Sus scrofa: one gene and its partners. The protein of the gene in region 7 interacts with the protein of the main gene of each other region in a biochemical or structural test. Links are inferred from orthologs where the notes say so. Each region holds a gene or a part of one and is shown on either strand. Other genes may lie near its edges.

What was found.
Region 1: the proteins of ERBB3 (region 7) and SHC3 form a complex in vitro, tested with the Homo sapiens proteins (2 studies listed by BioGRID and IntAct, with this or other methods). The link is inferred for Sus scrofa from reciprocal best matches to the Homo sapiens genes ERBB3 and SHC3.
Region 2: the proteins of ERBB3 (region 7) and SRC form a complex in vitro, tested with the Homo sapiens proteins (2 studies listed by BioGRID and IntAct, with this or other methods). The link is inferred for Sus scrofa from reciprocal best matches to the Homo sapiens genes ERBB3 and SRC.
Region 3: the proteins of ERBB3 (region 7) and GRB7 form a complex in vitro, tested with the Homo sapiens proteins (2 studies listed by BioGRID and IntAct, with this or other methods). The link is inferred for Sus scrofa from reciprocal best matches to the Homo sapiens genes ERBB3 and GRB7.
Region 4: the proteins of ERBB3 (region 7) and RASA1 form a complex in vitro, tested with the Homo sapiens proteins (2 studies listed by BioGRID and IntAct, with this or other methods). The link is inferred for Sus scrofa from reciprocal best matches to the Homo sapiens genes ERBB3 and RASA1.
Region 5: the proteins of ERBB3 (region 7) and NRG1 form a complex in vitro, tested with the Homo sapiens proteins (8 studies listed by BioGRID and IntAct, with this or other methods). The link is inferred for Sus scrofa from reciprocal best matches to the Homo sapiens genes ERBB3 and NRG1.
Region 6: the proteins of ERBB3 (region 7) and SH2B3 form a complex in vitro, tested with the Homo sapiens proteins (2 studies listed by BioGRID and IntAct, with this or other methods). The link is inferred for Sus scrofa from reciprocal best matches to the Homo sapiens genes ERBB3 and SH2B3.

What each region holds. Positions count from the first base shown.
Region 1 is NC_010456.5:833,291-837,332, forward strand, and holds the start of SHC3 (SHC-transforming protein 3), read right to left. Parts: upstream 2,801-4,042; 5' UTR 2,368-2,800; intron 2,221-2,367; exon of another isoform or gene 1,695-2,220; intron 1,247-1,694; 5' UTR 894-1,246; coding exon 438-893; intron 1-437. UniProt on the Homo sapiens protein: Signaling adapter that couples activated growth factor receptors to signaling pathway in neurons. Involved in the signal transduction pathways of neurotrophin-activated Trk receptors in cortical neurons.
Region 2 is NC_010459.5:40,501,989-40,505,488, reverse strand, and holds part of SRC (proto-oncogene tyrosine-protein kinase Src), read right to left. Parts: intron 3,257-3,500; 5' UTR 3,090-3,256; intron 1,641-3,089; exon of another isoform or gene 1,638-1,640; 5' UTR 1,634-1,637; coding exon 1,366-1,633; intron 345-1,365; coding exon 245-344; intron 1-244. UniProt on the Homo sapiens protein: Non-receptor protein tyrosine kinase which is activated following engagement of many different classes of cellular receptors including immune response receptors, integrins and other adhesion receptors, receptor protein tyrosine kinases, G protein-coupled receptors as well as cytokine receptors.
Region 3 is NC_010454.4:22,580,583-22,584,682, forward strand, and holds the start of GRB7 (growth factor receptor-bound protein 7), read right to left. Parts: upstream 2,801-4,100; 5' UTR 2,608-2,800; intron 2,588-2,607; exon of another isoform or gene 2,341-2,587; intron 2,335-2,340; exon of another isoform or gene 1,172-2,334; intron 1,163-1,171; exon of another isoform or gene 871-1,162; intron 300-870; exon of another isoform or gene 1-299. UniProt on the Homo sapiens protein: Adapter protein that interacts with the cytoplasmic domain of numerous receptor kinases and modulates down-stream signaling. Promotes activation of down-stream protein kinases, including STAT3, AKT1, MAPK1 and/or MAPK3. Promotes activation of HRAS.
Region 4 is NC_010444.4:94,970,115-94,973,614, reverse strand, and holds part of RASA1 (ras GTPase-activating protein 1), read right to left. Parts: intron 1,670-3,500; coding exon 1,512-1,669; intron 1,005-1,511; coding exon 928-1,004; intron 1-927. UniProt on the Homo sapiens protein: Inhibitory regulator of the Ras-cyclic AMP pathway. Stimulates the GTPase of normal but not oncogenic Ras p21; this stimulation may be further increased in the presence of NCK1.
Region 5 is NC_010457.5:53,685,204-53,689,323, forward strand, and holds the start of NRG1 (pro-neuregulin-1, membrane-bound isoform), read right to left. Parts: upstream 2,801-4,120; 5' UTR 2,535-2,800; coding exon 1,829-2,534; intron 1-1,828. UniProt on the Homo sapiens protein: Direct ligand for ERBB3 and ERBB4 tyrosine kinase receptors. Concomitantly recruits ERBB1 and ERBB2 coreceptors, resulting in ligand-stimulated tyrosine phosphorylation and activation of the ERBB receptors.
Region 6 is NC_010456.5:32,621,926-32,626,110, reverse strand, and holds the start of SH2B3 (SH2B adapter protein 3), read right to left. Parts: upstream 2,801-4,185; 5' UTR 2,465-2,800; intron 1-2,464. UniProt on the Homo sapiens protein: Links T-cell receptor activation signal to phospholipase C-gamma-1, GRB2 and phosphatidylinositol 3-kinase.
Region 7 is NC_010447.5:21,472,745-21,477,017, reverse strand, and holds the start of ERBB3 (receptor tyrosine-protein kinase erbB-3), read right to left. Parts: upstream 2,801-4,273; 5' UTR 2,394-2,800; coding exon 2,312-2,393; intron 1-2,311. UniProt on the Homo sapiens protein: Tyrosine-protein kinase that plays an essential role as cell surface receptor for neuregulins.

The DNA of each region.
Region 1 (4,042 bases), on a different chromosome or scaffold from region 7:
CTAGAAATTCTTGCTGTGGGAGAAATGAAACCACCTACCCTGCCGCCTGGGGCAAACACAGCAGAAGTAGTGACACCAACTGCCTTTCTCACAGCTGGGGCTGCCCAGTTCTTCCCCCTGTACCCTAGTAGGCCTGAAGCACAGTTTCCAGGCATGGCGGCCCATGCCGAGAGGGGTACTGGCTGGACACAAGACCAAGTGGGGTGGCAAAGACATGCCAAAGGAGCGGGGCCAAGGGAAACCAGGACAGACTGAGGTCACTGATCTCAAACCTTCTCCCAATGGATGCGCAACGGGCGCGTTAGCTGTGCCTGGTCCCCGCTGCCAGGCGAGCTGACTACAAACAAGTGCGCACCTCCTGACCTCCAAGACGACCCACCGTGCCGGAAGCCCCTGTGCCCAGGCTTCCCTACCCTGTCGCCCGCGCCCGCACCCACCTTGACGACGTAGGTGACTCCAGCCCCCAGCACCTGGTCGTTGGCGTGCGGGGCGCGGGGCGGCGGCTCGTCGCCGGGTCGGCCCTTTCTGGCGGCGCGCATGGCCGGGGCGCGGGGGCCGGGGGGCGCGCTGCCGTCCGGGGCGGCCAGGCTGGGAGCGCTGCAGCTGCCCGAGAGCCGCGCGCCCGCCCGCTCCCTGGCCGCCGACAGGCCGCGGAGGCCCGAACTGGAGAGTTTCAGGTGGGACACCTTGTGGAGCAGGTGGCCCAAGCTGCCTGGCCCATCGTCGGGCGCCCTGCGCAGCGCGTCTCCGGACACCAGGTAGGGGGCCGCCGCCGGGGCTGCGCGCGCCGCCGAGACCTTGCCCCCGCCGCTCACCGACAGGTTGTGCAGAAGGTCATCCACCGATGTCACCGAGTCATTCCTGAAGCGGTTGTACTTGGTGCGTGGAAGCATGCCCCTCCGTGGGCTCGCCGCATCCGCCCGGGCGCTGCAGGTGCCGGCCCCGGCGCGGGCTGCCGCGCATAGCAGGCGAGCCGCGGTCCCCGGGGCGGGACGGAGCGGCCGGGACAGCTGGTTGGGGGGCGCGAGCAGCGGCGCCGGCCTCCCACCGCTAACACCCCGCACCGCCGCGGACGCGCAGCCCCGGCCCCGGACTTGGCTGCTGAGGGCGGCACGTTTGCTTTGCAAAAGTCATAGTTTCCTCTGATGAGCGCCCAGCTGCTTGGGGCTGCTCACAGCAAAAGCATGACTCACTCCGAGAGGAGACCCTTCTCAACAAAGGCTCGGTGAGCACTGCAAATCACTTCCTGTAGCAAAAAAAAAAAAAAAGGAAAAAAAGAAGAAAAAACCACATACACCCACTGACAGCACACTAGAGCCAATCAATTCTCAAATTTCCTTTTTCTACCTTCCCAGATATTTTCTTCCAACCTTTGGTTTTTCACCTCCCCATCCCTCGCCACCCCCCACCCCCACCCCAGCATTTGTGCCAGAGGTAAATCCAGTTCCTTCAGATGATCAGATGAACTTTCTGAAACCTATTATTCTAGGCTATGGTTTTTTCTTCCCTGTTCAGCCCATCTGTGAGCCTGGGAAAGCAGCTGACGGCGCTGCCTTAAAATGTGACGAAGGCTTTTTAAGAATAAGATCTTCAGTGGATCCTCATGAATTCTGATTTTGAAAGCAGGGAATTGTTAAATAGCCCCCAAAAAAATTTTTTTAAAGAATATGCACTCCCAGGTAAATATAAAATACCAATTTCCAGGTTTTTCTTTTTTCTTTTCAAATCGACAGAGCGGCCATGACAAGTGTCTTTGTGGCAATGCAGTTCCTCAAAAAAAAAAAAAAAAAAAAAAAAATCTGCATATGAACTTCTGCACAGAGCCAGTTAGGGTCTCTTCCCTGCTAATTTGCAGCAGTCTCTCAGCCAGGGCTAAGTTGAAAACCTACTTCCGAAAAAGAAGAGTGCTTCTTTGATAAATGGCATGAAACTCCAGAAATCTATTCCAAAAAGGGGGCTGCGCTTGAAGCTTTATTCCAACTGAATGTGCTCAAGCTCTGGAAAAATGCCCAAGAAACGCTACAAATACATTTCAATATCCCTTTAGTTGCTGCTTGCAACCCTGCAGTAAGAAAGAAAAAAAAGATGCAGCTGCTCTCATTCCACATCAAATCCACAGAAAAAAATGCCTTATTTTCAGGAGTCAGATACGGATTGCAAGTGAAACGCACAGGCCTTCCTGACCCTTAGCAGCACAGAGCCTTGCTCCCACCCCCTCCCAGAAGGTCTGCACAGACCAAAACCCCCAGACTCCTGTCACCCCAGGCTCTGCCAGTCTTCATCATGCCTTGACAGAAGCTGCCCCACTCAGTAAAACGCTGCCTGGCCAAGTTTCCCGATTACTTCCGTGCAAAAAAATGAATTTACCTCTAGCACGTTATCAGGTCACCCTGAGTCTTCTCACACCCACGACTAGACATGTGACACTTGAGGTACCAAGCCTGGAAGAGCTTTATGGAACAGGGTGTAACGGGTACCACTCAGGGAGGGCCAGGTGAAGCCAGCTGCTGGAAAGCAGAAGCGCAGAGGAGCAGCGGCTCCCCTCCCAGGGCCGCAGGCCTAGCCGAGCAACCGCCTGGCACTCATTTTTTTCCTTCCCCTGGCTTGCATAGCAACAGCACACGCACACCCCAGAGATGATTGTGATGGTTATCGAAGTCCCCCCACATCTAAAGCAAAAATGCCCTATCATTCCCCAATCGTGATCTTCATTAGAAGCAGACAAAAACAGCAAAATATGAATGAAATGCTGTTTGTGTGAATGAAAGGGCTAGCGAGCGAGCCAGCGTTTCTGTGAATGAAGCAGGGCCTTGCAGCCGGCGCCAGGCAATCCCCTGGTTCCAGCGGCTTCAGCCAATGAGCAGCCGCCCCGATGACTCATTCAACAAAAGCTTGCTCAATAGTGGAAGATTCCATTTCAATCAAAGGCGGGATCTTTCATCCAACGGCAGTGTGGGAAAAAAAAAAAAAAAAAAAAAAAAAAAGCCAGCCTGATTACAAAGATGCTGGGCGCATGGGGACCGCTGTCATGAAGAGAGGAAAAACTAGTTTTTCAAGGAAATTCCAGAACCACTGGTCAGGTAGAAGTATAAACAGAATTGCCCTCTTGGAGGTGAGCTCTGCCCTAAAACTTTCATTCAGCCATTCATTTACATCAAGGAATAACCATGAATGTTCCATTCTGTTCAGCATTTATTATGAATGTACAGTGAATGCACATTCAAAACCTAGGCTAGGCTCCTTGCCCTTGATTCTTTTTTGTGAAAGGAATATAGAACAGGCCTGCATGTTCTCTGTCTCCAGGGAGGAAAAAAAAAAAAAACAGCTACAGTGGTTAACCCTTTAGCCAACAGGAGATTCCTAATTCTTTTGTTATGATGAGGCAAGTGGAGGGAAATTGGCCATTTTAAAATAGAAAGAGCGACATAAATTTCCTGCCTGTAAGAGGATATATAATCTCAGAGAGTGAATTAATATTTTAAGAATACAGTAGTACAGTAAAACCTCACTTATCAGAAAGATGGTATTAGCATTTTGGAACATAGGAGAAAAACACAAAGACCATCCCCAAAGCTTCTAGACAGCAAAATAGAAGCTGCAAGCCCAGCCAAGAAGCCCACGTCCCTCCCTTCCAGGACAGCCCTGTGGACTTTTCACTGGGGGCTGCTACTGCTTATTTTAGACTTTCTTCCAAAAAGCCTAAGTACCAGGTTTATCAGCCTGTGACAACATAGAGATGAATGATGGATGAAATATTCATAGCCTGGTGACAGAGACAAAAAGAGGAAAAAAGGAAATCTTTATTACGTCAGCCCTGAGACTCAAGAAGGCCAGGCTGCCTGTGCCCCTTCCAGAATATTTCAGTTGTTCTTTTAAAATCTATTAATTTAAAAATGTATTGAGGTAAAGAACCCGACCAGTATCCATGAGGATGCAGGTTCGATCCCTGACCTTGATCAGTGGGTTAAGGCTCTGGCATTGCCATGAGCTGTGGTGTAGGTCACAGACTAGGCTCAGATTTGACATTGCTGTGGCTGTGGTG
Region 2 (3,500 bases), on a different chromosome or scaffold from region 7:
GTTCTGTGATCTGGAACGCTGTGCTCTGTTGACCAATTACAGAGCCTTCCCAGAGCCCCTGCCTCATCACTCCTGCAGGCCCCAGGTCAGCTCCCTGGACCTTGGCTGCCTTGATGCTGAGCTCTCCCCACTGCCCATCAGGCTGGCCTCCCCACTCTGGGGTCACTCAAAGCTGTCTGTCTCAAGACCAGGCCCTGGATCAGGGTCCAGAGGGGTGACGGGGAAGGGGGGGCGGGGGACTCACGTGTTGTTGACAATCTGGAGCCGTTCCCCTTTCTTGAAAGACAGGTCAGTCTCTGTCCGTGACTCATAGTCATAGAGGGCTACAAAGGTGGTCACCCCGCCTGCAGGGCAAGAGGGGCGTGTCAGAACGGCCAAGGCCTTGGCTGGGGGGAGGGGCGGAGTTGGTCTCCTACCACCAGCCCAGAGGCCTGGTCCCATTCACAGGGGGCGGGCCTCTATGCATGCCCACCTTGTCCAGGGGTCCAGGCAAGCCTGTGAAAGGTGTAGGAAGCATGCGTGTCTCTCCGTGTCTGAGTGTGCCCACTGGGCTCTAGGTTATGCTAGCTGTTGGTTTATCTGTTTGGTACCTGTCTTTCCCATAGAAGCAGAAGCCCCCAATAACAGGCATCTTTGTTTTGATCCTAGAGCCTGGGGGTCCTCTATGGGTGTCTCCGAATGAGCTACTGACTCTGTGTGTGTGTGGCTCTGTCTGAGGGTGTCCGAGTAAGTGTCGTGTTTGTGTGAGGGTCTTAGGTCTGTGCGTCTTCAGGACCTCCAACCTGCTCCCCGTGCCTCCCTGAGAAGCCCCCAGCTCTCATGGCCTCAGTTTCTCTCTCTCGTCCTCTATCTCTAGGACGATATGCTCTGTATCAGATTCACCCCTAAAGGCAATGAAGTGTGCCTGGGACTGCTATATTACCAAGGCGCCAGCAGAGGGCGCAGGGGCGCACCTCGGCGTTCGGCGGGGCTCTGAAGACCGAAGCCCCCCGTCTCCCTCCCAAAGAGCCCCGCCCTCTTGGCCACGCACCGCCTCCAGTCCTGATCCTTCTCTGGGCTGACCAGAGCCAAGAGCAAAGCCTCCAAGCTGCTCCCTGTGCCTCCCTGAGAAGCCCCCAGCTCTCACGGCCTCAGTTTCTCTCTATCGTCCTCTATCTCTAGGTCCTTTATGCTCTGCATCGGATTCACCCCTAGAAGCAATGAAGTGTGCACCACACTTTCCAGTTTATAAAGCCTCCAGGCAACTCCCAACAGTCCCCAAGGCCCAGTAACCCACAGGCTCCTCCCCTTCAGTGAGAGAAAGAGCAGAGCAGCCTAAGCCCGACAGCTTAGGCACCCGGCACCCACACTCCCAGGCCCACTGACCAGCCAGGGGCCCCGCCCTCTGCGGGGAGGTGACAGTGTCCGAGGAGTTGAAGCCACCAAACAGCTTGGGCTCGGCGGCCGCAGGGGCGAAGGCCGTGCTGGGGCCTCGATGACCATCCGCGGAGGCTGGCTTGCTGGGGGTCTGTGAGGTGGGAAAGGCACCACCGCCACCGCCGCCGCCGCCCCCGCCGCCGTGGGTGTTCTCGGCAGGCTCCAGGCTGCGGCGCCGCTGGCTGGCGTCCTTGGGCTTGCTCTTGTTGCTGCCCATGGTTCTGCTGGAGATGAGAGAGAACCTTAGGGTGAAGACCTCAGGGAGCAGGCCGGGCTGCCGGGGTCCCTAAGCTTGCACTCCCACCCATTCTACAGACAGGGAAACTGAGGCTCAAAGAGGTCTCTTTGGGTAAATTAGCCTTCCAGAACCTCAGTTTCTCCATCTGTAAAATGGGAACAATGATGGTACCCATGAAGTGCTTCTTTGGTACAGGGCCAAGCACAGAAGAAACCTCATAATCAGAAGCCCTAACCTCCCCAACCTTCCCAGGTCACTGTTTCTCTCCATTGGGGGCAGGGCCGTGTCTGAGTCACATCTGTGTTCCAGGCACATCGGAAAGGGCTAAGGGTTTGTTGAGTTAATACATGCCTGACTGAAACTGTCTCACACCAGAGGGAAAGTGCTAAAAGTTGCAGCCAGGGCAGGGGTACTGCAGGCAGCTGGAAGAAGGAGAAATGGCTGGGAGCTCACTCCAGCCCCAGGGCCTTTGCACATGTGGTTCCCTCTGCCTGAATGCTCTTCCCTGATCCCTTCACCAGAGTAACTCATGCCTCCTTCAGTTCCCAGCCTAAGTCAAGTCACCTCTTTGGAGGCAGCATGTGGGGGATGGGAGGGAAATGTTTAGGGGTGATGGATGATCTTGACTGTGCTGATAGTTCCGTGAGTGCATCCATGTGTCAAAATTATCAAGCTATACACCTTAAATAAGTATAGTTTATTGTATGTCAATTACATCTCAATACAGCTATCAAGGGGGAAAAGTCACCTCTTTGGGAAGGGTTTCCCAACTCCTTTCACTGGTCTAAGTCCCTCTGCTTTTTGTGCCTCTTCTTGATAAAATGTGGCCCAGATTTGGGGGTTGTTTATGGGTTTATATGATTGTTGTCATGGGCCTTTGCCTGTCTAGCTCACTGCTGTGCTCCCTGCACCTAACACAGGGTATGTATGGCACAGTAGGTGCTCAATAAACAGCTGGACGAATGAATGAATCTCTCAAGAGTTAAGAGTTCTCTGAGCCGGAATTCCCATCATGGTGCCATGGGATCAGTGGTGTCTCTGCAGCGCCAGGGTGCAGGTTCAATCCCCAGCCTGGCACAGTGGGTTAAAGGAACCAGCATTGCCACAGCTGTGGCTTAGGTCGAAACTGCTGCTCAGATCTGATCCCCGGCCCAGGAACTCCATATGCCAGGTGGCGACCAAAATAGAGGGGGAAAAAGTGGTAGAGATCTCCGAGCCAGAAATCTGGGAGGGCTAGAGATCAGGGAGCAGAGAGACACCCAAGCTGCACACTCCCCAGGGATGCCCGCAGCCCTGCCACCCCTCTTCGCTTCCCATGTCTCCATCCTCAGGTCCTGGCTCCCACCCACCGTGCCTGGCCAGGTCTCCCCCCACCCCCCACAGCCATCCCTCCCAGCTCCCTCAACTTGGCAGCCCTGACAGGTCACCACCTCACCTGGTGGAAGGCAGGGGCTCTCCCAGAGGACCTGGGAAGTAGCCCGAGGTCTCAGCACAAACACCAGGTATGGAGTCAAGGGTCTTGCACTAGAGGACCTGCTCCACCTCTCCCTGCTGGGTGACCTTGGGCAAGTCACTTCCCCTCTCTGGGCCTCAGGTCCTCATCTACAAAGTGGGAAGAAAGCAGACCTCTCAGGACTGTTGGGAGGATAGGATCAGAAAGAGAAATCACCACGGCTCTGACTCTGGGATCAGATTTCATCAGGCTCTGACTCCAGCAGGCCTGGTGCTGAGAACTACCCAGACCTGAAATATCTCTCATTCCTGCCAAAGCGAGAGTGAGGCTGGGTATGGCACAGTGGTTAAACGGCTTTGGGGAGATCCCACTGTGGCTCAGTGGGTTAAAGAA
Region 3 (4,100 bases), on a different chromosome or scaffold from region 7:
GGACCTACTATGGGCTCCTGGCCACTAGCCCAGCCCAAGAGCCCCCTCACCCAGGAGGGAGAGAAAAAAGACCTGGCCCGGATTCAGAAGCCCATCTGAAATGGAGTTAACCTCTCCGGGGTGCCCCTCACTCTACATGCAGCAACATCCTCGCCTGTCTGGCCAGAGGTGTACTCAGGAGCAGGAGTGGAAAGTCAAGAACAGGAGTTTCCGTTGTGGTGTAGGGGAAAAGAATCCGACTAGTGTCCAGGAGGATGCGGGTTCGATCCCTGGCCTCACTCAGTGGGTAAAGGATCTGGCGTTGCTGTGAGCTGTGTTGTAGGTCAGGGCCCCGCCCCGGAGCTTGGATCCCTCTTTGCTGTGCCTGTGGTGTAGGCCGGCAGCTGCAGCTCCGATTTGACCCCTAGCCTGGGAACTTCCATATGCTGTGGGTGCGGCCCTAAAAAGCAAAAAAAAAAAAAAAAAAAAAAAAAAAGAAAGAAAGAAAGAAAAAAGAAAGTCAAGAACATACAAGAGGACTGACAGGCCGGCAGGGAGGGAGAGCAGGGTCCTGCCGGAAAGGGGACCCCACGCCCACCGGGCGCCCATCCACACCAAACACAGGGCCCCCTCCCACCCCCAGCCTCCTCTCTGGCAAACAGCCCTGGTGACTTTATTCCAGGGAGGACTAGGGGAGGGGCTGCAAGAGAGATGAGGTGGGAGTAGAACCGGGTCCTAGCCCTGGAGCCTGGGCAGCGCACCCCCCCACCCAGCCCCCTCCGCATCCACAAGACTCTCAAGCTTTCAAACTGGGTCCCTCGCTAAAGGCTCTGTTTAAACAACTAGCCTCGCAACTCCATCTGTCCCCTCAACACTGCGTCTCGCTCGTACCTGCGGCTTCCCCAGGAGCCTCTCCTGTCCCGGCGGCTCCAGCCCCACCCTCTTGCCCGCCCTCCCGGCCTCCTGCCTCCTTGTTTACTTCCTGAATCTGGCCCCACCTGGCTGGCCCCGAGGGCGGGTGGCAGGGCCCACAGTCTAGGGCCGGGAGAAAACAAGGCCACCTTCCGTGCCTCCCAGGTGGGGGGAGGGGCCGGAACAGCCGAAGCCTGAACCCCCGCCGGGAGGAGGCGGGAAGGCGCCCTCCAGGCCCAGGACCCCGCGCCCCCTCCCTGGAGCGGGGGGGAGGCCTTACCTGTCGGGGAGCTCTTAGGGCGAGGGCCCAGGTGAGGAGGCGGGAAACCCCTAGGTGACCCGGAGTTGGGGGGAGGGCCCGGGACCCTGAGGCCCCGCCCACTCCCTCACTAAGGGGAAAAAACACCCAATGGGAGTGAGGGGGGGCAGCTCTTTTAAAGTTTAATTTGGGAAGAATGCTAGAGTGTCTGCGAAGTTAATCATTACAGGCCGCTTGCCTTCACGGGGGGCCCCCCCAGCAGGAGAGCAGGGGGAGAGGGGAGAGCAGAGTCCAGGACGGGCAGACCAAGAGGGGGCAATCCCGAGGGACAGCGGGGTTGGAAGGACTGACGATGGCGGGCAGGTGCACTCTCCATCCCCGACCTGCCCGGGAGGCCCAGACTCGGACCCGGGTCTTTCCCCAGCCGCTTCAGACAAGGCACTCGCCCCCGCCCCAGGCACGCGCGCACACACTCCCCAGCACCCCCCACCACACACACACACACACGCACACGGCACTGCGGATCCCCCCGCATCTAACCCTCCAGTCTACCGAGACCACATCTTTCGGAAGCCAGGAGGGACCCCCCGCCTGCCCACCCCCACCGTCCCATCCGAGGGCATCCTTGTGGCCGAGTGGGGGCTACACTCCAGAGAGACGGCGTTCTGGCAGTTTAGGGAATCCTTGTCCCTTACTGCCCTCCAAATTGAGGGTGCCCCCGTGGCCCCCGCGGAGACGACTCTTTCATAAAGACTTGGGGGAACTCAAGCTGCGGTCAAATCAGACAGAGCAAGAGAGAGACTTGGGGCAGCTCCCTCGGTATCTGGACCCTCCCCTCTCAGCTCTCTTTCTGGGAATGTGGGGAGGGGCTAGTTTCAGCGGGAAAACCGCGTCTCCAGGAGGCGAGAATCTGTGATCTCGCTTCCCGGCCCCGTCAGCTGGTGAGTGTGCGTTTGGGATGGGGGCGACCTGGGTGCGGGGAGTTGCGGAGAGGGTCGGGAGGAGCCGGGAGGGCAGGAGATGAGAGTAGGGAAAGACTGAGGGCAGCTGGTGAGGAGGGGGCGGGATGGGAGGCTGGAGGAAAAGAGAAAGTGAGGCCGCCAGAGCAACCCAGCAGGAGGCCGAATCTTTTTCCATATGGACCCTGGGGCTCCCCACCCCCAAGATGAAGTGTCCGCTTTGGTCCTTACCTGGACCCTGGGCGTTGGTACACCGGGCTGGGGCCACCGATTTAAGGAGGAAGACGCCAAGCCCTTAACTACCTGTCCTCCTCCTGTCCCCGCCCTGGCCTGACATCACTGAGCGAGGAAGGGAAGGGGGAGCCAGGCAGACGCCTGGCCGCCCACCTGGGCAGCCAGCCAGCCAGCTCTTGGCCCTGAGACTGGCACAGCCTGGGGCCCTGGTGCGGCTAGAGGTGGGAGCAAGTTGTCTTCTGGGACGAATCTCCGTCCCCTTACCTGGAAGAGCCCCAGCAGGAGTCGCAGGACACAGGGGCTGAAGTCCGGCTCTGTCTAGGAACCTCAGGTACCTGGACTTGATTTCAAATCGGCTCCCTCTATTCTACAGGTGGTAGGAGGGTGTCCTGACTTTGGGCACAGAAGGAGGGGGAAGGCTGAGCCCTGTTGTCCAGGCACCTTGCCCAGGGAAACAAATTATCTTGGGCAGGTGGGGGCGGGGCACGGGGGAGGGGCGTGGGAGGAGGAAGCCCAGGAGGAGGGGCGGGGCCTCCCCAACACTACGCTGGCTGGGATTGTTTTTGTCCTTAGGCTGGCAGCAGGTGACTGGGGAGAGGCGATTGAACTGAACTGAGCAGCCCGAGAGCGAAGGTCCTCACCACCTGGGAGGGAGAGGCTGGGGGCTAGAAGGTCAGGGGAAAGGGCCCCGCCCACCCTTCCCAAACCTGGAATGTTCATTGGCCAATTTAGGGGGCTTGACTGCAGCTCTGGGGCCTACCCCCCTGGGGCAAAGGGCGACTCTTCGAAAGCCGGAGGCCAGCCAGAGGGGTGTCCAGCAACTTGGCCTGCCCCTTGACCTCCAGCCACAGTCTGGCCACCCAGCCTGCATCCTGGCCCCTCGGAGGCACCTGGGCTAAATCCTGTCTTCTGAGCAAAGTCCAGGGTCTCAGTCTCCTGAAATCCAAGGGGTTAGACGAGGTCCCCTGGTGAGAGGAGTGATTTGGGGAAAGCTCTGGCCAGGTGCTAGGGGACTCCCCTTGCGCTCTCCTTCAGCACTAGGCAAACACAACGGTGAAGAGCCCGCCTGAGAGGCTGAGATCAAAGACAGTAGCCACCTCCCAGCCCAAGCGGGTGACAGTTGGATAAACAAACAATTCATAGGGGTGATAAGAGGTCTGCCCCCCCCGGGGGGGGGCGTGGAGGAGTGGCTCCAGGCTCAACTTTCTCCAAACTGGGTTTTCCTTGGAAAAACCAGTATGAGAGGACTAAGCCAAGAAGTGAGGGAGGGGCGAGGTCACCTGGGCCACAGAAGCGTTTGTGCAAAGCGCAGTAGACCATTCACTCAGTCACTCCTTCATTCACTTGACTAATATTTGTTACGTACCTACTATATGCAAACCCCATGCTTGGCACTGGGGATACAACAAAATGACCTGCCCTTATCTTCATGCAGCTCCATCACAAAGACTTATGTTAATCAAAGAATACACAAATAATAAGAAATGGCACGAGACAACTACACTGGGAGAACAACTTACCTGGGAGGTTGGGAAAGACTTCTCCATGGAAGTGACCCTGGAGCAGGGGGGAAGTTGTCTTGGGGCAGGGGACAGAAGTGGATTGATGGATGGGAATGTCACCTTTCATGATGACAGAACAAGCGCCAAAGCCCTTGGCAAAAGGGGACAGAGCATCTAGAGGCAGAATGGGGGTGGAGAAGGAAGGACAGGAGGCCTTACAGGTGTGGCTGAGCAGGTATGGAAGGTGTGGCGAAA
Region 4 (3,500 bases), on a different chromosome or scaffold from region 7:
AGGATAGATGTGTGCATATGTATAACTGAATCACTTGTCCAGCAGAAATTATCACAACACTGTAAATCAGTTATACTTCAATAAAACGAGAAAAGAAAACAAAGTGATATAGTTGGAGAAGAGGTTTTAATTACTGAGAGTAAAAGTGGGGAGGAGTGGATCAGGAAAGGGTCTTTCTTCTGTGTCATTACTACAGGGTTAGATTCTATCTTAAAAGTAATGAAAAACCACTAAAAAATATTAAGCATTTAAATAGCATAGAAATCAAAGAATAAACATTATTTACAGCAAAAAAAAATTCAGCCTTTGATTCTGTTAACATATATCCCTTTTTCCCTCAAGCCTAACCTTTAAGAAGATATTTAAGTGTTAACCTAATTTACTATGATGTGAATCACTAAATCCCACTGCCATCTGTTTCTAAAATAGCCTGTTTCAGGCTGGGAAAAGGTGTGCTGAGAACAAGCCCTGACCACCAGAAGTGACAACTGTCCTCTCGTTTTAAGAAAACTTTTTAATAGACTGCTTTTGGCCACTTACATGCAATGTATAGGAAAGCAGGAGAAGCCTACAAAGTAAAAAGAAGGGACAGGGAAGCACCATAGACAAATGACCACTGTTAGTGTTTTCTTGTTCTTCTCATTCATTGGGGAGGGAGGGAGAACACTAATTTTAAAAGCTTAAGTTTACAGTATATGCAATTTAGCCATCCTGGTCTTTTTTTTTTTTTTCCCCCTTTCTTTTTTAGATACATTCTTTCTCAACAACCAATACTTTTAGAGTACAAAAAGAAAATATCTCAAGTTATACTACTTACACATCTTTTAAATTTTCATTTTAGAAAATACCTCATTATGAATTTTAAAGTATATGAAACATCCTTTTTTTTTTTTTTAACTTTAGAACACAATTTCTGCATGAACTTACAGATATCAGGATCTTTGCTTTTCTTTGTTTTATTACTAAGAGTTATTTCAAATCTGTTGATGTCAGGAGGAAGATCACTAAAGGAGCAAGGAGAAAAAGAATTAAGAAAATATCCTGGCATCAAACTATCAAATTTGTTTATTCTTAGTATCAAATAAATCCCCATTTCTGCTATTAACCCAGTTGAGAGTGCTAGTTTTAAAACTAGATTCAAAACATGTTTTATTATTTGATACACAGGAATACAGACAAGCAAATTATACTTTCCCTAACATCTTTAACTTCCTCAAGTAAATCCTGGAAACCCCTGGAAACATCCTATATGTGTATGTTAGTAAATGGTTCTGGAAGTGTCAGTTACAGTAATTCCTATTAATAACTAGGTGAAAAACCAAGGATATAGCACTTTACTAATAAAAGTGAACAAATACAATAGAAAAAGTAAGTATGTATTATTAACAAGCCTGGACTTGGTACCTGTTCTGACTGGTTTAGAAAAAGTCAAAAAAAAAAAAGAAAAGAAAGAAAGAAAATGCATTATAGTAAAAGAAAAGCATCTAATGTAATGATAAAATAAGACTTACTCAAAGACAAACTCTTCTGACCATACAGGGTTTTGCCCTTCCCTTGCATGAGTTTTTGCTACCTGGACACTATTCAGGTAGATGTTACAATATGGATTAGTAAAATGTTTTACTGGGAGTTTATGGGCTTCTTCAATATGTAAAACAAGACTGCTGACCTAAAGAAAACACAAAAATTATTACCCTAGATTTCAAGAAGTATGCATTAGGTTTCAAAGGCAACTATTACAAAATAAAAACCCAAAATAGTGATTTATTTTCTCTCCTTTTTTTCCAGAAAGCATGACCTTCAGTTATAGTTTCTCTTTTAAGTGACATAAAATACAACACTCACATAGTCGTCCCACTTAAAAAAATAAATTCGATTTTATTTTATAAGTTATTCCTCCAATTATATTCTTATATATTTTATAAGTTATTCCTCCAATTATATTCTTATATTATATATATTCCTCCAATTATATTTCTTGCAGAAATAAACACACCTTTTCTACCATAAAACAATGGTTCAGAGAAAAATAAAGTTGAGGATTCTTTACTAATTTAAGTAAGCAACTGTCACTACCCAAATCAAAATCTCATGTTATATTAATGTTCATCTGGAAGATTTTATTTCTATACAGAGTTCCACAGCTAGAAAGTACACTTTAAACACTGGTTCTACCTTCTCCTCTTACAGAAAAGGATAGAGATCCAAAAAAGCTAAGTCATTTTTCAAGTTGTGTGTGCGTATGTGGGTTTGTTTGTTTTTTGTTGTTCTGGCCACGTCTGTGATATGTGGAAGTTTCCAGGCCTAGGATCGAACCCAAGCCTCAACAACAACCCAAGTCACTATAGTAACCATGCCAGATCCTTAACCTGCTCCGCCACAACACAACTCCTATTTTTCAGTTTTGATGTCAAAAGTTATACTCTCTAGTATCAGGTTCTCTTTCACCCCTTCCACCAATTACTTGTGTGGCCTTGCACAAGTAAGTTTCTGAGCCTCATCTTCCTCAGATATAAAATTAGAATAGAGTCTACACTGTTGGAGTATAGATTAGAAATGATATGTACAAAAGCACACAGCGGAGTACCTGGTACATAAAAAAGGCTCAAGATATGTTATTATATCATTATGATTTATATTATACCTACAAATGATAATTTCTTGCCTAAATTTTCACACAAGATACAATCCACAAAAGTTCAATCTGATTTTCCATAGCTTACAAAATGTTAAAATATGTTTTGAGAAAACAGTGATTATGCATGTAATTAAATGTCTCAAGGCAAAGGATCAAACTTCTAGCTGCAGGGACTATAACTTAGGAGTCATCCAAATAATAACCATTTATCCACTTTCAGTAGAACAGTATGTTAAATTCACCAACCTTATTGGAATTCCCACAAATAAAACAAGTCACCTTGGTCAATAAATATTGTCTAAGGTTTCCTCAAAACTCCAAGAATGTTAAATTTACCTAACTTTTTCCAATTATCTAGGGATAACTAAAAGAAAAAAGCAAAGAAATCAAAGGAATAAAGTTCACTTTACATACCTAGAAAAAAAGAGAAAGCCTAGTTTAACTCTCCATAAATGAACATATAGGACATGTTAAGGTTTCAAATAACATGGGATACTACCTATGAGTTATGCAATAAGTTTCAAGAGCAATTAATGAAAAACCCAAAAGTTTACTGGATTTCGTACTTTCAGTCAAATGATCATTTTCAGTAAGTACCTTTAGTTTTACTTTTTTGACACAGTCCAAAATAATTTTTTGAAAAAAAAAATAATGAAAGTGCCAAACACAATAGTTTCTGTTGTTGTTGGCCTGCTGTTGTTAATTTAAGTAGAAGAAAAAAAGTCCTTGGTATGTTTTCAAAAGATGGCATTATGGACTACATACCCAGAAGGTATGTAAAAGAACATTCTCTTTCATGAAGAAACAACTATTTCTCCTGCTGCTGAAGCAAGTGGGAGCATGGCTTAAAAATACCTGAAGA
Region 5 (4,120 bases), on a different chromosome or scaffold from region 7:
CTTTGACTGGCAAACAGAAGAGCAAAACTACCTTCAGCGAAGCTTTTTCAGCCTAGAAGCATGAAAACAGAATAGTATTCCTCCACAAATTTTCCATTTCCAAACATCCTTTGGACCTTTATAAGAACTTTACCTCTGAAAACTGCCATCTTTCTAGTTAACAGGCATAACACCACTGCTCACCTAGCAACACACCCCACAATCCTAGGCATCACTGCTAACTATGATCCCCTCTACGCTAACTTTCACTATGTGTAGTAAATGATTCACAACGCCTGTGGTTTGGGGTCAAAGCAAAATCCTTCCTCAACTGCATAGACTAAAACATGTGAAAACTGGATGCTGGCGTGGCTCAAAAGGGTTGTTTCAGCTTCTCTGACCAAATAACATAAGATGCAAGACAATGGTGTGGAGCTATTGTCTTTCCTAATAAGACAGCTCCCAGCAGAGAGTTTCCCGTGTTCTCAGTGACATCTATCAGCCAGACCCAGGGAATCCCAACGCCACTCAGTTTCTTCAGCACCACTGTTTGAGAACAGCTTCTGGCCACAGACTGGTGCAATCCTAACAAGTCTGTGGCACACAAAGTGCCTTGTTAAGAATAAGGAAAGGGAGGATGAGCAGAGCTCTTTCCTGACATTAAAACCCAATCTCTAGCCATTAATTAACCACAGGACAGAGGCACCACAAAACGCCAATCAGAAATTGCACACTTGGCCATCACCTGTAACAAATTTTAAAGAACTGACACTTTGCATCACAGCCAGACTGAGCATGGTGTGATGCTGAGTTTTGCAAAAATTCAATTAACCCATCTATTAGACAGATATATAAAGACCAAGGGAAAATCTATTATGCATGTTAGATTTTGTGATGTGTAATCATGTTAATTTACGGTTTGAGAAGAAACCCTGCCATGTTTTAGTGATTATATGAACATTAGGAAGTTACAAATATTTAAAACCTAGAAATTACTTTAAGAATGTAATTTCTCAGACCCGATAATACTGATAAAGGCCCCGGGAAGAATATTTACAGTGGTAAAATTGGAAAAGGTGGGGGAAGTTTGTATTGTTGAACTCTTCCGAAATTCTCCTTAAGGGCCTACATGTGAAGTTCCGTAATGACATTCATCTGTTCTGATTCACTGACGGGCCAAACACTCTCCGAGCCAAAATATGGTGAAAACAACAATTCTGGAGATGATTTCAACCAAAAAGAAAACACCCTGCTTTATAGTTCGCACATACCATATTCACAAGGTACAGACTGCTGGCCCGAGTTGGACAAAAACTCTACCACGCTGCAAAGGGAATCTCACTCAGTGCTCCGTCCTTTCCCCCTCGGAAAGACACAGGCACAAATCCCTGACCAAGTCCACACTCCGGACTCCTAAGTGATGGGAAGAGGTTCCAAACCTTCCTGTTTCAAAGGAAAAGCCCCACATGGCTGCCCGCCCTTCTCAACAACTCAGAACCACAGCCAAGTTCAAGAAGGCACTAACAAGAAAGCAGCCGGCCCATTTCCATTTGACATGGTGAACGAAACCCCAAGGGATTAAAAAGTTTGAGGCGGCCCCAAGCCAGAACCAAACTTGGGCTTTCACCAATAGCAAAGCCTCGAAAACGGGAAACCGGAGAAGGCACTGCCCGCGGAATCCAATCCGCGAACCCTCCTCCTCTGAGCGGCGCCCAGAGGCTCCCACCGCGCAACTCCCCCTGCTCCGACCGCGTCCACCGGTCAGCCGCGGAACCCCAGCGCCCGGCGCGCCCCGGGAATGCGCCCTCCCCGCCCGGCCCGAGCGCGCCCCGCAGGGCCAGGAACTTACCGCACCGCTTGCACAGCACCCGGCTGACCTCCTTCTTGAGGTTCCGGCCCGTCTCTAGAGGGGGAAAGGATGCTCGGAAGGCAGCCGGTGCGCGGCCGCTGCTGTTGGCGTCGGGCTCCATGAAAAAGATGTACCTGCTGTCCTCCTTGAGTCGCCCGCAGGAGGGGAACGCGGGGTGACCCCAGGCGCCCAGGCGCACGGTGAGCAGCGAGTCTTTCTTCAGGCCCCCGGCTTTCACCGCCCACACCTGGTGCACCTTCACCAGATAGGGCGCCTCGTCTCCGGGCTCGGCGGCACTGGGCGCCGGGGCCGGGGGCCAGGAGGGCACAGTCCGGTTGTTCGCGGGCAGCGCTCCCGGGCCCGCGGCGGGCGGCTGGCGCTCGCCGCCCCACGCCCCTGCCTCGCCCGCCGCCGCCGCCGCCTTCCTGTCGAGTGCCCCCTGCTGCCGCCGCGCCGGGTGCACCTTTCCCTCGATCACCACCGCGGCGCGCTGAGCCAGCTCCTGCACCGAGCCCACGCTGGGCGGGGACGCGTAGCACACTGAAGCCCCCGCGGGAGCCGCCTCGTTGCCGGCGGCCGCCCCCGGCGCCAGGGCCGTGGTCCACAGCAGCAGCAACAGTATCGGCGGCGGAGGCGAGCGGGCTGCGGGGTCGGAGCGCGAGGCCCGGGGGCCGTCCTCCCCGCGCGGCGCGGGGCGCGTCGCCATCTCATGGTGCGAGGTGCGTGCGGGCTCCCAGCTGTCGGTTCGGACTCTGCCTAGGTCTCTCGCGCTGTCTCCCTTTTCCTCTCTCCGCCTCCCCCTTTACCCTCCTCCTAATTTATTTATTGGCGGGGGCTGTGGGAGAGTTGTTTACGGGAGGAGGAGGAAGGGAGAAAAGAGGTGGGTGGAACCTCAGAAAGGCGAAGAGGTATAAGGGCAAAAAAAAATTTTTTTTAAGCCAAATTAGAAAAATAATAAGAATAAAGCCGCCGCCACCGCCTCGGTTGCTGAGAGTGACAGGTCCTCCCCGCGCCGCCGCCGCCGCCGCGCCGGAGCCCCGCTGTCGGGGCTGTCACCGGAGGAGGACGTGGAGGTGGAGGAGCTGCTCGGCGGGTAACAGTCCTTTGTGTGAAGTGATGCTGCGGCGGTTGCTGAGGCTGCGAGCGGGCGGCGGGGCGAGAGCGCGAGGGAGAGAGCCCTGGAGGCGGAGTTGCGTGCCTGGAAATCGCTGGGTGGCCGCGGCGGCGGCGGCGGCAGCGCCCTGCGCCTGGCCGGCCTGTTTACCTGCGGGGCGAAGTCGGCTCGCGCCTCCCGTCCCCATGCTGATGCCCGAGCCTGGCCCACGAGTCAGTCCTCCGGGGTCAGCCCTGGCCTGCGCACCTCCTCCCTTCCCGTCGCCCCGATTGCGGCAATGGGAGGGCCGGGCGGCAACCGAGCTGAGCTGCAGTCCGAGTGGGCTGCGGAGATTTCCCGGGGACTAAGAGGTGACGCTTGAGCCATTGGGGACCTGTTAGCTGGGCGAGGGAAGGAAGGGGGGCACACGGGAGATGCGGGGCCTCGTGGCAGAAAAGTTTTGGGTGAACTGGTTACTGGAGAGTCCAAAGGGAGCAACACGTTCGCAGGAGACAAGCTGCAATTAAAACAACTTTAACTGTCGTTCGCTCTCCTGCTAAGGCGCACACACAGTGAGCACTTAGGGTTTGAAGCTTCCTTCACACTCTGCTTTGCATGACGCTTGTCTAGATTATCCTTGCCTTTTCTCCTATGGAAATGCCTGATTCACCATGATTTTCTGACCGATGAAGTCCTGCCTCTAGGATCGTTGCTTGAATAAAATAGTTGCTCAATAAGGCCATTTTGTATAAAGTTTATGGCACTTTGTCAACTAGTTAGTTCTTTAAAAAATAACTGGATGGAATGAAAGGTGCCCTTGTGCCTGCTGGAACAGAGGATTTCAGACCTGAGGAAGTGTAGGCTAAATACTGTGCCATCTGAATATCATACCCCCCCACCCTAACTCACCCCATCCCAGTCCCATCCCCTCCTATCCCCGACAGATTGAGGGAGTTATTTGAAATCCTTCATCTCCCAAGGATGTTCTTTTCAAACAAGTAGCACTCAACAGAAAGAACACATTTTTAGCATTTAGAGGAAAATATTTCTTTTATGTTCTTTTATGGTGAAAAATATTGAATGACCTAATAAAATTAAGTTGAGGTTGTTTGTTACTCAATGGCCTGCTTGATCCATATTATGAGACCTTAAGATTTTAAAAGCATTATAACTTAATATCCTTTACTCTGGGATTCTAT
Region 6 (4,185 bases), on a different chromosome or scaffold from region 7:
AGCCATCACTGAGTGCTCTATGTGCCCTGTCTCCCCAACACAGAGTGGGTCACACTGGGACTGGTAGCTGGAAGGTCCTTCCAAGTGCCTCTAGCCCCTCTGCCCTCAGGGAGGCTCCACCTGGGGTGGCACAACCAGACAGGACATGCAGGAACTCCTGTAGGCTGAACAGCTGCAGGGCTACCCAGCACTTGGGCTTAGGCTGCCACCACATTAGGAGCTGTTCTACAGGATCTAGATTTGTACCAGAAAGGTCTGTTTGTTGGAGAAAGATGAGCCCAGGGTTCAGAAGAATGGGGGTTGGGGGGAGGGGAATCCCTAAGAAAAACAAGCAGAGCTAATATCCACAACAAAGATAATAACAATCTCACCCTTATGACCATTCCTTCTTCTGACCAAGTCATTCTAAACAGTTTGTGGAGTTACTAATGTATGGTCCCAATGACCCTAAGAAGTAGGTCCTATTACCACACCCATTTGACAGATGAAGAAAGCAAGGCTGTGATGGTTAAGCAAGGCCTCATAGCTATAGCCTCCAGAATTCTCTCCAAGACTCAGGAAAACCCAGAGCTGCACCTGCGGGAGGCACTCAAGGGAGGCTGATGAATTATCAAGGGATGCTGAGGAACCAAGGCTCCTCAGCCGGTAACAATAGCACTAACGATGGTAGGGATGAAATCCACCACCAGCACTGCCACCTGTACTTGATCCCTTTCAATGCCAGGCACATTACATTCCTGCCACAAACTTATTACCCCATTTCACATAGGGGGAAACTGAGGTTCACCGTGTCACTTGCCTGTGCCCTCAGCTAGAAAAAGGCGGTGGGGAAACTGAACCTAATCTTCCAGGACCCACCTCTGCCGCTGCTCAGCCCCTGAAGGTCCTCAGACGCCAGCAACCGATACTTTAGTCCAACCCCTTCCCAGCCGGCTGCCTCTGTGGCCCACAGGGACCCACACAAGTTCTAGGAATTTCACCCTTTGGCTCAGAAGGATTTTCCCTCCCAGAGGGGGGGTGGTGGGAAAAGGCTCCGAAAAAAACTACATTAAAAACCCTTCCAACTTCCCCAGTGGGCCCTGGCCTCTCATCTGCTGACCCCAGCCTGACCAGGCGGCCTCAGCCTGCTCTCCCCCAACTAGGGCTGGGTCTCCGGCCCCCACTGGCCCAAGTGAGCCTCCAGAGCTGTTTCCATTCTGGCAGCCAGGTCGGTGATGGGAAATCCAGACACAACTCGCACCCACAGCCCTAAAGACCCATGCGTTCACCGCCCTGGCAGGGGCCCGGGAGATGGACTGTAAATGGGGACCCAGGATGGGCTGACTGTCCCAGCTGAGCCTGGCAGCTGGTAGGTGTCAGGGGATGCTCATCTCCCAGGTGAGGGGGTGGCAGTCAGATCTCTGCCCCTCCAGCTCCCAAAGCTGGACCCAGGCCCTTCAGAAATGGCTTTGCCAGGCCCTCTGTTCCAAAACCCCTGCCTGCAGCCCAATTTCACTTCCTCCCACTCAGTTTGGCCTGGCCATTCCCCTCCCTGGAGGCCCCCAGCTGCAGGCAATGACCTCCTCACCTACATCATTGTGGCCCAGGAATAGGGAAGAGAAACAGGAGAATGAGGAAACTAAAGAAAAAAAGTGGACTGGCAGGCAGGGCCCCCTCCCCAGTTCCTCAAATGCAGTCCCTTTTGCCCCAAAAGTCCCAGGAACAGAATGAGGGAAGGGGGAGGATTTCTGCACCAGGCATTATTAGGGGCCTCTGAAATACCCTCCCAGCCCTGCTGACCTATAAGGCCAATGACCTGTGTCCCATTGTTTTTGGTGGGAGGATTCCCCTGGAGCCCCAGGTCCAGGGTGGGAGGGTACCAACCCAGAGACCTGAGCTCTGAGAGCCCTAACCCTTTTGAACCCTCAAATGCAGCAGCATAGGGTTACATGGGCCATTCTACCTCCCGGATGCAGGGAATGGGGAGAGCAAGTCCTGGAATGGGAGGGGAGGGCTACCCTCTTAGCCACATGGGCCTGGCCAGGGAGAGTGGGGAGGGGCCTGAGTCTAACTCCCGAATGACTCTTCCCTTCTCAAGAGTTCAGGTTTACTACTTTCGCTTTCAAGGTACCAAGCAGGTGACCCCTGACCCCTCCTCACCAGGCACAGTTGACTGGCTGAGCTACCTTAAGAGGTGGACTGGGACTGTTAGCCATATCCTCTGGCAGCGCCTCCCGCACGACCTTCACTTATACCCCCATACATCCCCAGCACGTGTGTGGGTGGGGTGTCGGCTGGGAGGGTGTCGCAGGAGCTGGGAATCGGTCACCTCAGAACACTCTCATCTGAGTTAGCTGCAGGACAATATTTAGGTTGCTGTGGGAGTGCGCAGACACTGTGTAGAACGGGACCCGGGCCCTCCTCTTCCCCCCATTAAAGCTCTCCCAGACCCAGAGGAAGGCAGCGCTGGGAAAGACAGGCTTACCTGAGAGAGAGGGGGTCCGGGCCCGGCCGGCCCATGGCGTCGCGCGCCCCTGGGCCCCCGAAATCCCGAGGGGGCAGGCGGGCCCCAGCCCCGGGCGCCTTCTCTCCCGCGCGCCGGCTCCTGGCTCGCGGCTCGCTCGAGCGGGGCTCAGGCAGGAAACCCAGGCTCGGAAAATGGCCAGCGCCTCATCATTTCCGCCGCCAGCGCTTGACAGTTGCGGGAGGATGCGCCTCCCGGCCGCCACCGGGGAAACTTTGCTGCCGCCGCCGTCGCCACGGCGAGCCGCGACAGTCCGGGCGGGCGGCCGGGCGGAGGCAGTGGCCCGAGCCCATGCCGCCCCGCGCCGTTATGTAAAGAGGAACCGGCTGTGAGAGCAGAGCCCGGCGGGGGAGGGCGGCCACGGCAGGGGCGGGGCCATGGCAGGGCCGGGCCACACGAGGCCCCGCCCCAGTCTGCCCGCGAGCCGGACCGCTAGAGGGGAGCAGGCCCCCGGGGGGCGGGGCCTGCTCTTACCCCGCCCATCATCCCTGCTCCGCGGTTGACCAGGTCCTGGGGTCTCAAACGCGAATCCGGAGAGAGGGCGTGGCCTTTGTCACGCCCATAGCTCGCCCACCCGATTTTGCATCGCGCAGCCTAAAGAAGGGAACGAAAGGCAGGAGAGGCGGGACAACCTTGGGCCCACCCACCTAGCTCCAGCGACCACCGGGTGCCTCCGCTCTGCGGGGGCGGGGCCAGATGAAGGAAAGGCGGAGTCTAAGGGCGGGGCCGGGCCGAAGCGCCAGACTTACGGGGGGCGCGACCCTGCCGACTCCCTCCTGCAGGGCCTTATCTGCAAGCGCCGGGCCGGTCAGTGCAATAGCGACCGCAGCTTTCATCATCACCCGGGGAAGGATCCCAACCCCGCCCGGCCCAGACTATTGACTCTACTGAGCCGACCCCCATAGCGCCCCCAGTTGGGTTCTGTCCCCACCCTCAGCTTTTCTCTTGTCTCAGCCCTTGCCTCTATAGACTGGCCTCTATGCCCTCATCTGTCCCCTAACTCCAGGAGCGCATCATTCACCAGGAAGCCCTCCTAGACCGCTTGCTCCCATGCCCTCTGGGCCTCCTCCTCTGGTCTCCTCCGGGCTACTTTCATTTTATCTATGAGCCTTATGTGGGGTGAGGTTCACAGTGGGGTCCCCAATTAGCCTGAGGTGGAGCATACACACAGCCAGCCCTTCCCCCAGCTCATGAGAGGGAGGAGAGAGAGGAATGTCTGCTCTTCTCTCCCTCCCACAACAGGAAACAAGTTGCTCACACCCCCAGCTTGCGGGGGGCCACATCACCCCTTTCCAGACAGCATACTCTTCCATTCCACTGCCTCCCCCTCTTTCTGGCCTTGGGCAAATGACTTGACTTCTCCATACCTCCATTTCCGCATCTGTGAAATGGAAATAACACCTTTTCACAGGGTTGTGAGGATTAAATGAGTTAATGCATTAAAGAGCGGTTAGCAAAGGGCTCTGCCCAAGGGAAAACACTGCTGCTTGAGTGTTTGTTAAACAATCAGGCCTGAGTCCTGCCATTGGAGCTACAGGAAGGGATTCCCCCAGAAGGTGGGGATTTCCAGATTTCACCCAGATAGCGGAAGGGGGCCCGTCTGCTGTAGGTTCCTTGGAGTTCAATAACCTTGAAGAAACTGGCCACAATCACGTGCTTTCCACAAATATGTATTCAATACC
Region 7 (4,273 bases):
AGTGGGAGGCAGGAGCGGGAACGGAGGAAGGGAGATTGGTGAGGCCCCAAGCCCTCCTCCAAGATGCACCCCTAGTCTGCCCACTTGACCTTTGAAGGCCTTCTATTCCCTGTCACACCTCCTAAAGGGAATGGGATGAGCTAGACCTAGCAGAGGGGTAAAAAGGCCAGGCGCTCCCAGAGGAGCCTGGGAATGCTAGGGTCCTTGGGCTAAAAAGAAAACGACTAGGAAGGTTAGTCATTTCTGGAAAAGCCCCACCCCAACCCCCTTCCTGGCAGGACACCCTCTCTTCCAAGTCAAGGCGCCAACCCTTCTCCCCTGATAAGGGAGGAGCCAAGATTTCCACACAGGGAAGCGGGATGTGTGCGTGTACACACACACACACACACAGACAAACATGTACACAGCTCCCCTACTGGCCCCAAAATCTCTACTGGTTCTGTCCTTGGGCTTCCTTATCAGGAAGTATTTCAGGTGGCCCCATCCATCCCACCTGCCCATATGTGTCTGTGCAGACTTTGTGTCTGTGCTTGGGAGGCTACAGAGTAAGATGTCCCAGTTCCCTGCCTCCCTGAGGGTAAAGTCCGTATTACACAAACAGAGAGCAAAGGGCTGGGTGGCTGGGCGGGAAGAGAGTATGAACAACACCTCTCAGGAGGAACTGGGCAGCCTGGGGAGGAGGGGAGGGGGAGGGGAAATAGACCATCTCTGCTGTACTCAGGGACCAGGGGCCTTGGGAGAGCCAGTGTCACAGGCCCTCTTTTGGTAGAGAGCACTGGGGTGGGTCAGAGCAAGAATCTCCAGCCCCTCTTCAACCACAGGCCTCCTCTCCAAAGTCCCCCACCCCCATCACAGGCAGGACAAAGGGGCTATAGAAGGACTGAGACAGGGCCGGATGCCCAGAGGCTGCAGGATCCAGATAAAGGGTAAAGAGACCCAACCATGCCTGCCTCCTGTCTCCCTCGGGGAAGGTGGCCAGGGTCTGGGACTCCTGGGTTCCCGGTTGGGTTGAAGATTCCAGGGGTCTGGATGGGACAGTGATAGAGTCCCTCCATTCAGTCTCTCCCACTTCAATCCCCAGACCCCCACCCTCCACCAGCTGGGAGTGTTCACATCTCAAGATCCCAGGCTCTAAATTTAGGCCCAGCAACTGTGAGGGAAGCACAGGTGTTTCTCCCACTCCCACCCTGGGGAAGGGGCCCTGGCTGTGCCAAACCCCAAGCTGAGGTCTGGGGGGGAGGGGAGGAGAGCAACAGGATTCCTCCCATGCCAGCAACCCCAGCACCCCTCAGGTGTCCACGGTCCCAGAGACACCCCAAAGGGGTGAGTTCAGCTGGCATGGGAGTAGAAGGAGGAATAGTGGAGCAAACTGACTCTTGTCTAGACTCCTAGAGACAGCCAGACAATAAACAGAATGGGGGGTGGGGGGGAAGCTGTGTCTAAGAAGGAACTCGGAGGACAGGCGCCTCAGAAGATGGGAGAGGAGCCCTGTGGGCCCTGAGAGAGAAACAGCCACTGGAAGTCCTTGCCCCTTCATCTCCTGGCCCAGGGCTTTGTACATAGTAGATGCTTAATAAATACCAGTTGAATTGATCGGGGTCTTAAAAACAGGTTGGTCGAGTCTGGAACCAGCCAACTTTTATTATTTTGAGAGAAAGGAGGCAGGCAGTGTTTGCGTGGCCTCTCAACCTGCTGTCACCTGGACTTGGCCCTGGGGTTAATCTCAGCTCTCCCCAGGGCAGACCCACTCACGGAAGAGGAGGTGCTGCTCTTGTTTTCCAACACAAGAGAACAACAACCTACCCCCCCCCACACACACACCCCTTCCACAGCTCCGCCCTGTCGGCAAAACAACCAAACTGGAGGTGGTGGAGGGCAGGAGGGGGCAGGAGGGGGCAGGAGGATGGGTGCAAACCGAGACCCCCTCTCCCCGCCCGGCTCCCTCCAAGATCTCCACCTCCAATCAGGCCCTCACGTTTACAGAATGGGGGTCCTAGCTCCCCTTCCTGCAGGGTCCCTCAGAAGTGTGAATGTTTGCGCATCAGCCCTATCCCGAGAGACAAATCAGAGGGTCCGCGACGGGCCAGGGAGGAGGTGCCCAGGGGAAGGTGGTGGTGCAGGAATCCTCTCCCCGCCCGGACCACGCCGAGAACCCGATCCTGACGTTCCCCGCCCAGGAGGGGTCCCAGCGGACCGGGGCTCCGCACCCCAGCCTAGCACAGCCCGGGTTCCTGCCCCTGCCCTCCCGGACCCCGCGCGCTCCGCTCGGGATCCCGAGTTCCGAGCCTGCCGGTGCTCCCGCGCCGCTTACCTGCCTGAGAGTTGCCCACCTCGGAGCCCCGGGCCAGGCTGAGGAGGAAGCCCAGCACCTGCAGAGCCCGGTTCGCCCTCATGACTCCAGCGGCGGGTGAGGGGAGCCCAGCCCAATCCGGCCGGGGGAGCCCCTGGACTAGGACATCGAAGCGGAGCCACCTGAGCCACCAGCGACTTGGTAGCGGCAGCAGAGGAGGTTGCGAATTGCAACCGGAGCCGGAGCCGGAGTCCGGGGCGGGATAGCAGGGGAGGGGTGTAGTCTGCGAGGGAGCGAAGGAGGGAGCGCAGGGGGAGGGGGTGAGTCACGGCCGCGCCCCCTCGGGCGCTAGGCTGGAGTAGCGATTGCTGGAGCCTCGGCGGCCCGCCCCGAGCGCGCCCCAAGCTCCAGTGCCGGGCAACTGGGGCCACGCAGATCGCGGATGGGTCTCACCCTAATTTTTCTCCAGGAGCTGGACTAAGGAGAGGCCAAGATTCCAGCCGCCCCCAAATGCCTCCCGAGGAGAAAGGTAATGGGGGTGGGGAGAGCGCTCCAAAGCCCAGCCCCCTGCAAGTTGGCCTCGCCCACCAACCAAATCACTCAACTCCCCTAGCCGGTTGGGTCACTTGGGGGATTTTCTATCTGAATGTAAATGTTTCTCTGCATGTGTGTTTTTGAGTGGGAGGGTGTTTTTGCCGCCCACTCAGGCCACCTCAGTTTCCCCCAAACCCCCTCGAAACCCCATAACTCATCCACCCTGCCCAGGAACCCGAGCCCCAGAGGCCGCGTGAAATTGCACTGTCTCCGGCCGCTTCCTCCTCCAGACCCGGCGCCGGCCGGGCCTCTCCCGGGGATTTGGTTGGGGGGCGGGGGTGGCTTCCAGCCTGGGAACAGACCCCGAAGCCCGCCTTTTCACTTCCACCCCGGGAGGGGCTCCCGCACCTGTCGCCGTCCCCTCTGTTGCCCCCCACGGCTGCCTGGAAGAACAGCTGCCTCCCCTTGAACAAGAGTCTGACCGCGCCGTCGGAGCGGTCGCGGTCCTCGCCGCTCTTCGGGGGACCCAGATGGGCACACCGTTCCCACCACAGGCGCTCACACTTTTCCCAGGCCTTCTGTGCCCGGGTGTCGCTGGAAATGAGGTGGAGGGGGACGCGGAAAGGGCACTGCGTCTCCGAAAGTCATGAACCTCGGGCACTTCTACCACCAGCTCCCCGGATCCTGTCCAGAGGCGGTCCGGCGCACCCAGAGTGGCAGCCCCCAAGCCAGCCAGACTTCAAATGGATCCAACCGGCACCCCCTGGTGCCCAGCAGGTGGCAGTGAGGCCCCAATCCGCGTTGCATTTCGGATCTTGCCCAGAAAGCCTACTTTTTTCTCCTAGAGTTTCAAGCCCGAAGACTTCAAGAACGGTTGAGCCTTGATTAAGACAAATTCAACCTCTCACCCCGAGTCAAGATTACTGGCTAAAATTCTTTAAACTTGCTCCGTATTGAGATGCGCCCTGGAGGGCCCATTCCTTGGCGGAGGCTACCTTTGCCCTCTGGGCGTTCACCTTGCCCTGACCACTTACATAACAGTCATAATAGTAATAGAAACATTAACATATATATACGGAAACTACGTCGTTTGCAGCCCTTTCCTCCAACTTAGAGAACGTTTCACTTAACATACAAATTAGGTGAATTAGGGGACATCACTCTCCATTTTACAGAGCTGGAAATGTGGGACTATTCCAAGGTCATTCATTTGCCACCTGGTGAGGATGGCTGAGATGATAAGATGATCAGAAGGGGGAAGGCACTCAGGTTTTTGTTTTTGCCTAGAATTAATTTCTTTCTTTCTTTTTGCTTTTTAGGGTTGAACTCACGGCATATGGAGGTTCCCAGGTTAGGGGTTAAATCGGAGCTGTAGCTGCTGGCCTACACCACAGCCACAGCAACACAGGATCCATGCCGCCTCTGCCACCTTTACCACAGCTCACAGCA